Linked DNA regions of Coturnix japonica. The protein of the gene in region 2 purifies or fractionates together with the protein of the main gene of each other region. This does not show direct contact. Links are inferred from orthologs where the notes say so. Each region holds a gene or a part of one and is shown on either strand. Other genes may lie near its edges.

What was found.
Region 1: the proteins of DHX38 (region 2) and NUDCD1 purify together in Homo sapiens (co-immunoprecipitation; 3 studies listed by BioGRID and IntAct, with this or other methods). This does not show direct contact. The link is inferred for Coturnix japonica from reciprocal best matches to the Homo sapiens genes DHX38 and NUDCD1.
Region 3: the proteins of DHX38 (region 2) and PPP4R3A purify together in Homo sapiens (co-immunoprecipitation; 3 studies listed by BioGRID and IntAct, with this or other methods). This does not show direct contact. The link is inferred for Coturnix japonica from reciprocal best matches to the Homo sapiens genes DHX38 and PPP4R3A.

The regions. Positions count from the first base shown.
Region 1 is NC_029517.1:119,470,222-119,473,876, reverse strand, and holds part of NUDCD1 (nudC domain-containing protein 1), read left to right. Parts: intron 1-1,516; coding exon 1,517-1,699; intron 1,700-3,655.
Region 2 is NC_029526.1:17,617,965-17,621,619, forward strand, and holds part of DHX38 (pre-mRNA-splicing factor ATP-dependent RNA helicase PRP16), read right to left. Parts: intron 2,837-3,655; coding exon 2,675-2,836; intron 2,590-2,674; coding exon 2,482-2,589; intron 1,605-2,481; coding exon 1,492-1,604; intron 1,385-1,491; coding exon 1,247-1,384; intron 1,000-1,246; coding exon 813-999; intron 725-812; coding exon 539-724; intron 96-538; coding exon 1-95. UniProt on the Homo sapiens protein: Probable ATP-binding RNA helicase. Involved in pre-mRNA splicing as component of the spliceosome.
Region 3 is NC_029520.1:40,221,066-40,224,063, reverse strand, and holds the end of PPP4R3A (serine/threonine-protein phosphatase 4 regulatory subunit 3A), read left to right. Parts: coding exon 1-211; intron 212-1,447; coding exon 1,448-1,561; 3' UTR 1,562-2,350; downstream 2,351-2,998. UniProt on the Homo sapiens protein: Regulatory subunit of serine/threonine-protein phosphatase 4. May regulate the activity of PPP4C at centrosomal microtubule organizing centers.

The DNA.
Region 1 (3,655 bases), on a different chromosome or scaffold from region 2:
ACAAACAAACAAAAAAAAACAAAAACTGCAAAAGAAAAACAGCTATTATGCTTTCATTAATTGTTTTGGATGTTGATTGTTCCTCAATTTCTGATGTTTGCATCCCAACAAAACCCTCATCACACTTTAAATTCAAGTTCTCACTTGTAGACCTGCAGTATGACAAACATTTGGAGGACAGGAAGGAGTCAATTTCTGCATGTGTATAGTTAAGGCGATTAGAAAACAAGCTAGGAATAATACGACATTATGGGATGAATAATAAATTCCCATTTAGCTCTGTCTATTAAAATCTAAGTTGAAAACTATTTCTAATTAATATCTCTCGTACTTTTCAAAACATTGTATAAGAATTTAATTTCCCAGTACAATGTAGTCATACTTGATTTGGTCATCCATCTAATCTGAGGTCATCTGTTGATGCAGGTTCCCCATCTGGAGTCTAATAATTGTATAGATGAAATCTTGCTCTGTCTTGGATTAGAATGGCTATACTTATTCTACTAATAGAAGTGCTTATACTTAGAAAAGTGGACAGGACTTTAACTGAACCAGAAGCAGAACTGAACAAGGACCAGAATTACACTGTAGACTGGTTCTTGCTCCTTTCTCTATTTCTAAACTAATTTTTAGCATGTAAGATAACTTGTTAAGGGCACCCAAATTTTAAACAATGGTTTATCCATTGTTGTCTGTATTGCACTGTGACATAAACACTGAGGTGAACCACGACACTTTGGAGTACTAGAGTGGTATAGAAGAATTTTACCATCATGATCTTGTCTTGTTTAGTGTCTCTGCTAATAAATTCCTGGTATTGAGTTGTTGTTTTTTCTGTTACAAGTAAAGTTGTACTCACAAGTAGAGCAAATTCTTTTAGTAAAGAGATTAAAGATATGTGTGAAAAGTCAAACAATTATTAGAGATAATATTATCGCCTGTCAGAATTTTATCATGTTGATAGTTAACTGCTAAAAATCTTTTTGTACAATCTGTTGTTATAAAAAGTTGATCAAATACTGAGGGCTTCAAGTCCAGTTAGGTTTTAATTAAAGGACAGCAAACTCCAGAACCTCTCACTTCACCATGTTTTAAGTCATCGGTACTCATATGTTTGGGAGCACAGTAGGATAAGGCACAGTCCTTGATGTCAATAGCTGACAACTAGGACCTTTCAGCTTTTGTAAAACACAGATCTTCAAAAGTGAAAGCAGGCATTTTCCACTATGGGTGAAGTGTTATCAGAAGCTATGTTGTTGTTTCTCAAGCTCTCATATCAGCTCTAAAAATATTTGGAAGGCCTGTTTCTACGGAGAAGTTTTGTGAATTGCTGAGCTAGCTGTAATTAAAGAAGACATCGTAAGAAAAAAGGACAGTGTTAAATTAATTTGGGACCTACATGTATAATAAAGTCACTGAAAAAGAGATTTCCTTCTAAGCTACTGTTATTTAATTTGTAGGATTGCTTAGCATTTTTAAGTGTAATGAGGTTCTTATTTTTTTCTTCATTTTATAGATGAACATAGGTATGAAATCAGCAAAAGGAGAGTTTTACAAGGAAAATCAGTCCCTCACTATGCAGCAGTAGAACCAAGTGGAGATGGTCTAATGATTATTTCCTACAAACCATTCAAATTTGTACCAGAAGAGGAAGAAATTTTAGAAGAAAATGATGATAAAACAACAAATGAAAAGAAAGGTAAAACCTATTTGACAGGTTATGATAGATTACTCACTGTTTTGGATAAGAAAAGAGCTTGTTTGGAAATCCTAGTAAATGTTAGTCTTAATATCTGCCTTAAATGTCTGGGTTTTTTTTTTTGTTTGTTTGTTTGTTTTTTTCCTGATCTATTTATTTATTTTTTTCATGGGCAGGTGGACTTCATTGTGTTTGTTTTCTTCCTGGAAAGTTGTATTGTGCATAAGCCTATAGGGGAAACATTTTGGCATAGAAGGAACATAAAGAATTTCTTTGACACAAGGATAATGGCATTTTGCCAAGAGAACCATACTGATTATTTGCTAACGGTTGAGTTGTTTACTCAAAGTTTAGGCTGCCTAAATTCAAGCATTTAGCTGAAGTACTCAGATGGAGAAGTTAGTCTTCCTAGATAAAATAAGGGATATGGCACCCAAACAGTTGGGAGTGAAGCTCCCCCAAGGTGCTGTTCAGCAGGGAGATCTCCCTGGGGTGTAAAATACACTTACTTTTCAAACAGCAATAAAAAATCATTTGTTTGGTTTTTTTATGAATGAGAATCTTGTAAAGATCTTCATTAAGAAAGAAGTCTTAGAAAAAAAAAATGACTTCAAGAAAAGGCTAAACTCTAACGTCCCTTCCAACCCACACGAGACTATGATACTATGATTAAGCTGGTTATATTACTCACTGTTATTTTGGCTTTTTCCTTTGCTCCTTCCTGTTCTGCCCTATTCATGCTTTATTGCTAATAAAGTAGTCTAGAAGGTAATGCAAAGGAAAAGAAAGAAGAAAAAAAAAAAAAAAAAAAAAAAAAATAAAAAGAAAGTTTAATTCGATCAAATTCCAATTCAGCATAAAAAAAGACCAGATAAAGTCTGTGTCAAAGGTAAGCAGCTTCAGCTGCTGACATGGTCAGCCAAATATTGTACTGTGACAATATGGAGAGCTTCTAAAGCATTTCAGAAAATGAGTCCATCCAAACTTCAATTCTCCTCTGAATTTAAAAGAAAATGAATACACCTGTAGCTGTGTTTTCTATGACCATGTTTTCACCGCTCAGTCATGCTGTCATAGCCTTTATGGAACAGAATAGTTTCGGTTGGAAAACACCTACTAAAATCTCCAAGTCCAACTGTCAGGGATACTTTGGGGCCAATCCAAAGTTAAAACACACTAAGAGTGTTACTGAAGTGTTTCTTAAGTATGGGCAGCCATGGGGCAGCAGCCACCTCTCTAGGAAGCCTGTTCCCATGTCTAAAAACCTCTTTCTAATTTTTAGTGCAGCTTTAAGGCATTCCCGTCAGTCCTGATGCTGGATGAGCTCCTCTCCACCTGCCAATCTCTGGAAGTTGCAGAGGGCAGTGAGGTGACCCCTCAACCTTCTTTCTTCAGGCTTAACAAATTCAGCGTCCTCATCCACTTCTGACTGAACACGTCCTCTAGCCTTTAAACAGCTTTTTTGCTGTCCTCTGTTTAAGTATTTCTCATAGAAAGGCAGCTTAATAATCAAGATAGGCATCAGGCAGATTGTAGACCCAGAAGCAAAATTCAGTTGTTACTTCTTGGAAGGCAGTTCTATTTCATCTACGTCAAGTGAAGCAAATGAAGACTATTTGGTCTTCTAAAACCATTTCTGTAATTGTCAGTGTAACTTCTGGCAAAATAGATGAGGGAAATATGTTCATATTTCTGAATAGCTTACACCCCTGAGTATGGAGTAGCTTGTCATAACTGTCGTGCTACTGGTGTCTGTTTAACTGAGTCATTGATCATTAATACCTCAATGTACTGAAATACATTTTGGATATCAATTTCATAAGGCTGTAATAACTGTAGGTTAGTATCTAACATCCACTGGATAACTCCATCAGCATATTTGAGTACAGACATTAACAGAAGTTGTTTTCCAGATGAGTGACACAAATTAATTTGATTGTTTAAAAAAGTTTCTGT
Region 2 (3,655 bases):
AAAATGGGAACATTCCCAAAAAAAGAGGCAAATTTATCAGCATCCATGGTGGCAGAGGTGACAACGAGCTTCAGATCAGAGCGACGTGCTACCACCTAGAAAACAGATAAAAAGGACAATAAACAAGTGGTATTTGTATGTGGGTCCAGGCTTCTTCCATCACTACTGAAAAAAACAGCAAAGGGCTGAGCTTCCACTGTACTCTAGAAACACTAACCACTAATGCCATGGTACGAAAACACACACTGTCCAGTTAAAAAGACAGGCTGTCCCCAGCTGAGAAAGTCTTACACCTGCAAACACCTCTGTAACTAGAGCTACTTTATACCAGCAAGCCTTTGGCAGTACACTAAAGGGGAGATTTAAGAAACAAAGAACAAGATGTTTAAGCATCAAGTGCAGTCAGAGATGCAGCAGTCTCTGTTCATGATCTCTGCTCTGACCTGGGGGAGAAGCACTAACCCTGCCAATATTCTGCCCTAAGACCAGCTCATATGCCCCGTGTTGCTGTCCTCCTGTAGCCCAGGCTCACACACACCTCCCGAAGCAGGCCAAAGAGCACATCAGTATTGAGCGAGCGCTCGTGTGCCTCATCCATGATGATAGCACTGTAGTTGTCCAAGTCAGCCTCTCTCAGCGACTCACGAAGGAGGATCCCATCTGTCATGTATTTGATTATCGTGCTCTCTGACGTGCAGTCTTCAAAGCGGATGGCATAACCCACCTGGGGGGCAGAGATATCAGCAAGTCTTCAACAGCTCTGCATATGCACTGTCTAGAGGCTGCATGCCTACATATGCTGCCAGACTCACCTCCTCTCCCAGACGCACTCCCATCTCTTCACTGACCCGCTTGGCAACCGACATGGCTGCCACTCTGCGGGGCTGCGTGCAGCCAATCATGCCATAGTCTGTGTAGCCATCCTCATGGAGGTACTGCGTCAGCTGAGTTGTTTTACCGCTCCCTGTCTCCCCTACCACAATCACAATGCTGTTGTCCCTGAAGAAAGGGGAACAATATTTATTCATACACCACAAAGACAGCCTTCTTCATTCATAGCCCTGGCTGGCCACACAAAAGCAGTCCTGCTTTGGCAGAAGAGCTGCTATCAATCACACAAAGCAATGAGCTTTGTTTTCAAAGATTCCAAACAGAACACATATCTAGGTAAATTTCTCACTTGGGATCCTGAAATGTAAGCCAAAGCCCCAGGGTTACACTACAACTGGTTACCGAGCAGTCATACCTGAGGATGGAAAGCAGCTCCTGCTGCACAGCAAAGATGGGCAGATATTGTCTCTGCTCCAGAATCGACTTCTTCTTGGCAAACTCACTCCTTGCTTCACTTTTTTCTTTCATGTGTTCAGCAAACTTCTGCTCTGTCCTAAGGAAACATGAGAAGTCTTGAAGCTGTCTCCTCACACACTTTGCTTTGCCTGTAGCATAGGCATAACACCACCAGCTAGGCAGAAATCATCCAAAAGCTCCTACTTGTAATCTACTTTGCCATCTTCTGTCACCATCTCATCCTTCTCCTCTTCCTTCTTGATCCCCATAATGTCTCCCAGTTTTGTGCCTGCCAGCTCCCAGTGTTTATGCTGAGCCTGGAAGCACAAAGAGCAGTGTAAGTACCACAGCGGGGACTGAAAAATCATTCTCCTTCTGTCCTACTCCTAAGGCTAGAAAATCATGTTTGCCTCAATCCCCTGGTGCTTAAGGAGAGAACACACATTTCCTATATCAAGTCTCCATCCTCCAAGCAAACTGGGGCAGAACTTTTTTAGACACTGGTTTGGATAAAGACACAACAAGCACAGGATGATCAACAGCCCTCTATGAATACTGTTTCAGCTGCTGACCCTTCCATTATATTTACACTTAAACAAACAACAATCTGAACCAGAGCTAATCTTCCTACTATTAACAGGTATCGACAGGTACTCTCACCATTCTGTTTTCTCTCACGCTTCATAACAGGACTTCCCACTTTCCACTCACAGTACACCAGCTCAGATTCAGTTTACTATGAACACATCTATGCTTTCCTAACTGCTATCATGTAAGCTTTAGAGAAAGTCTTTCTATTAGGGAAACATCCACAAAGACTAATACACCACCTTCCTGTATATTCTTTCTCAAAAATCTTTTGCTGAGACATGGTGAGATCTGTCCTGCTACCACACTGAATGTTGACTGTGCCTGAGCTACACGGTATTCTTCCACTTGCTCTTCTCTCCCCATCCAAATGCCCTTTGGATCACACTCCCCAGCACAAATGCACAGTAATTAACATCCCAGGCAGTGCCTAAAGAAGTCACAACAGCTACTCGTGAGACAATGCAATGAACTGGACTAACAGGATATGTCAGATCACACAAATAAGGGGAACACATTACCATTACCATCAAAGCTTATATTCTACAAAGTCCAAACAAAAGCTGTGAGGCATTACATAACACGTACAGTGAGGTCTCAACATACCCTTTTACGCTCCTTTTGCTCCCTGTGCTTGCGCACCAACTGGCTGCCCTTTCGGGCTATGATGGCCAAGTCAGAAGTGGCATCCTTTACAGGGATGACTGGCTCTGGCTAAAGGAAAGAGGCATTGCTTCAACACAGAGAGCTCACATTTGTGAGGCTCCCCATCATTGGCACCGTTAGCCACAGCTTCTACCTGTTTTGTGAAGACTATCCTCCCATCTAGGAAAGGAGGCACCAGGTTATGCACCAGCAGATGCACTTTGGCTGAGTTATCCTCTTCAAAATCTTCATCCACTTCAATCCGATGAACCACACCACTGGTCAGCATGCGATTTGTCTCCCAACGCTCGTTATCCTGCAGGAAAGAACATATCAGAAGATTTTAACTATTACCTTCCATTATCCAAAATTCAAGAACCACACATTACCCAAACTAATTCCAAGGCAATAAACTAAGTAACACAGCTAGCTGCAAAGCACTACAACACCATGAGCAAATGAGGATGGCTTCATTTATTCTTAAAAGAAAAAGTTAAAAGCAGTTAACTACTGAAGGCAAATCTGTAACTGACTACAATACACACCACAGTTACAGTACACAGCTTTAAGCACTGAAATGATCCAATGCTGAATCTGTTGGTCTTCCTTCCCCAAAAGGGAAAGAGCTTGGAGACCCAAAGACAAAAATAAGTAAGCCTGGAATGTGGAGGAGTAACACTGAAGGTTACAGAGACCACAAATAAGCATTAGGAAAAGAACACTATCTGAAGACAAGTATGGTAAATGGAGACTAGCCACATAAAGTACGGAGTAAACAGAATTGTCTCAAAGGAAATGGAAGGCAAACAATCTACAACGCCCCTACCATACACTGAATACGTTAGAAAGCCTGGAGACAAACCTACTTTTATGCTGAGGGAAGCAGCTCTGAGAGTCCGCCAGAGGAACAGCAGACAGTCTTAACAATGTAATCTATGCCCCCTGCATAGCATAGCCCTTCAGATTCCTGCAGCTCTGAACACTCATCCACTGCAGTCACTCTAATGGTAAATTCCAACCCATGCAGGAGATGCAGGACTGCACTTTCCAAAGAAACATAACAATAGTTTCCTTTTGAGCCTCTCATTTGGTATAGGCCAGGACAAGGACAGCCTTTTTCCATCTGTCAGCCAAG
Region 3 (2,998 bases), on a different chromosome or scaffold from region 2:
AAAGGAAGTTCTTCTGAAAACAAACCTTTCAGGTCGTCAGAGCCCAAGTTTCAAGCTTTCCTTTTCCAGCGGGACAAAATCTAATCTTAGCAGTCAGTCATCTGCAAGTAATCTGCCTGGATCCCCAGGTTCTCCCGGATCTCCAGGATCCCCTGGGTCTCCGGGGTCCGTTTCTAAAAGCACATCTCAGATGGCAGCTATTACAACTAAGGTAATTTTCAACAGAAGTAGTCTGACTTCATTGTTATAGACTGGGAATTTTCTTTAGCATGTTTCTGAAGTTGGTGGGGATTCTGACATACTAAGCAGTTGTGGACTGTATGGTTTGTGCATGCTTTTTGTCTAATGTTTAGTATTTTCCAGATCTCCTATATATAAAAAGAAAAAATAAAAGCTCTGTTTATGCCCAAATACATAATTTTTGTACCATGTCTCTCAGGTGGTACAATTCTTTAAGTATGGAATGGAGTCTTTACATATGGAATATATGCATTCACTATTAACTTCACATTTTCAATGATGATAGAACAAGGAATGTTCAGACTACACTGAATATGCAGTGCACTGAAAAAACTAATAAATTCAAGCATTAATTCCTTTTTTTTTTCAGTGTAACATGCATTGCTTATAAAGGTGCTGCATTCACAAACTAGAAACGTTGTAATTAAGTACTTCAATAACTGTTTGATCCTCTTGTATATTCAGTGTTGTGCTACATGTGATGGTACAAAATGTGTGCAATTTAATAGAAGTACAATTTAATGCATGCATCTTGGTACTGAACAGTTAGCTGAAATTTTCTATTTTAAGTGCCCATCATCTGTTTAAATAACATGATCCTTAAGTAAAGAACCAGCATCTGTCATCATAGTTAAGTCCTTGTTAAGCTTCAGAAATTGTGACGTACAGTAGTTAAAGTTTTTAAAGATGGTGTCACCTCTTTGTGGGTTCTAATCCCGGATTTGTGGTTATATGCAGAACAAGAGAATTTAAATTTAATTGCTGAACACTTAAACTGGCTTTTGTGAAGACAGACTGTTGCTATAAAAGTGTCCCAGTTGGAAATTCAAACTCAGGGTGTTCTGTATTTATTTCTGAAGTGCTTCCAGATTGCTTGGTGCTGCAGTCAGCTCTGCTCGGTGGGAGAAATTTGCACTTTTACAGACTGAGCTGTGGTGTATATTTAGCAAAACGAAGTAGATTTTGGGATTTTCTTTCTGCTGTATCTCTACCCAGTGGGGTACTTAAAACCCCATTTTGTCTTTATTCATTTAAATATTTTTCAGACAATATAATCTCCATTCATACCTTTTGTTCTGCTCGATTATATCCAGAACGTGATTAATCGATATCCTTACGGCAAAATGTTGTGCAAAAGTCATTTTCTAATAGAAACATGAAGTGCAAACTATTTTCTTAATTAAAGTAGCTGTGCCTGTCTTTGTAGGGAGGCCTCGTTGGGCTTGTGGATTATCCTGATGATGATGAAGAGGATGATGAAGATGAAGATAAGGAGGAAACTTTACCTTTGTCAAAGAAAGCAAAGCTTGAGTCATCATAATGGCAACTGCTGAAGAACATTACCATTTGGGGGAAGGATATTTTTTCCATAGAAAACAAACCCACAACAAAGCAGCAATCTTTTGTGAATTACTGTGTGTAACACAGACCAACCTATACAAATGGATTTCTGCCAATCAAGTGCCAATTGAAAGGAGCAGAAGAAGGGGAAATACTTCGTTTAGGGGAAAGACTTACGCCTTTGAGCTCTCCAGCTTGGACCACGTGTTGCCCTTTTCTCAGGGAAGGAAATGGAAAACAAAAACAAAAAAGCCAACAGGGCAGGAGTTTTGTTAGTGGAACTCTGGATTGGCTGGTCAGTTGCTACAATCAGAGTATGCTTTCTTGGACCATACATGAGACTTCTGAAGAAAAGGCGGTTTTTGCCATAATTCTTCACTAGTTAAGAATGCCAGCAGTTTCTTTGTATAAAAGAGACCTGCCTTTGAAAATCGTACATTCTGAACATTTTAGTCAAGCTACAACAGGTTTTAAAAACCTCTGTGGGGGAGGGGCTGAATATCAAGTTTCCTTTTTTTCCTGTTTTTTTTTTTTTTTTTTTTTTTTTTTTTTTTTTTTTTTTTTTTTTTTTAAAATCTGTTCCCTTTGCCCTTTAAACTGCAGATTTTATTTTTTTTTTGGAGGTGGGGGATTTGTTTGTCCCTTTCTGATTAAAGATTGAGTGGAATTCTAGATGTGGTCACTTTTGTGTCATAATTTTTTTTGACCCCCTGAGTGTATGCTTAGTTGTTGAGTATATATTTGGGACCATTAAAATTTTTTGATGTAATATAATCTCACTGTTGTGCTGGTACCTGTTTCACCCTGTGGAATTTTGTTCTGCATCACAGTTCTTAATGTGTTTAGGATTTTACGGAAGATGGTATAGTTTTTATTGGATAAAAAATCCTTAATCTTACCGCAGTGTGCATAAAAAAGCAATACTATTTTGTGACTAAATATTTTATATGAAATTTTACATCAGCAGATGTCCTGCAAAAAAAAAAAAAAATTCAGGGAAAATAGGATGGAGTTAAAAAAATAGATACCTATAAACATGAAATTAGTATTTCAAAGAGACTTGGAAATTTCTTAGCAATGGTGGTAGACTAACTCATCAAAATGGAAGGTGGATGATTTAGGAATACCAATTTAATGACTTATTTGACTTAATAGAAGTTAAAAAAAGAAGAAGAATTAAATCTGAAGGAAAATGGCATTAGTGGTTGGTTTTTTTGTTTTGGTTTTTAACTTCTGGCTTCCTTTGGAATACCAGTTCTAGTGAATCAAAGATGGTTGCAAAATAAATGCTTTACAAGGATACCATCTTTTGAAATTTATTATAATACTCGATTAAAATACAGCAATTAAACTTTGGATCCAACTCCGTGGCTACATTTTTTCCCCCTTTTTCCAAAATCTAATATTAATTAGTAAT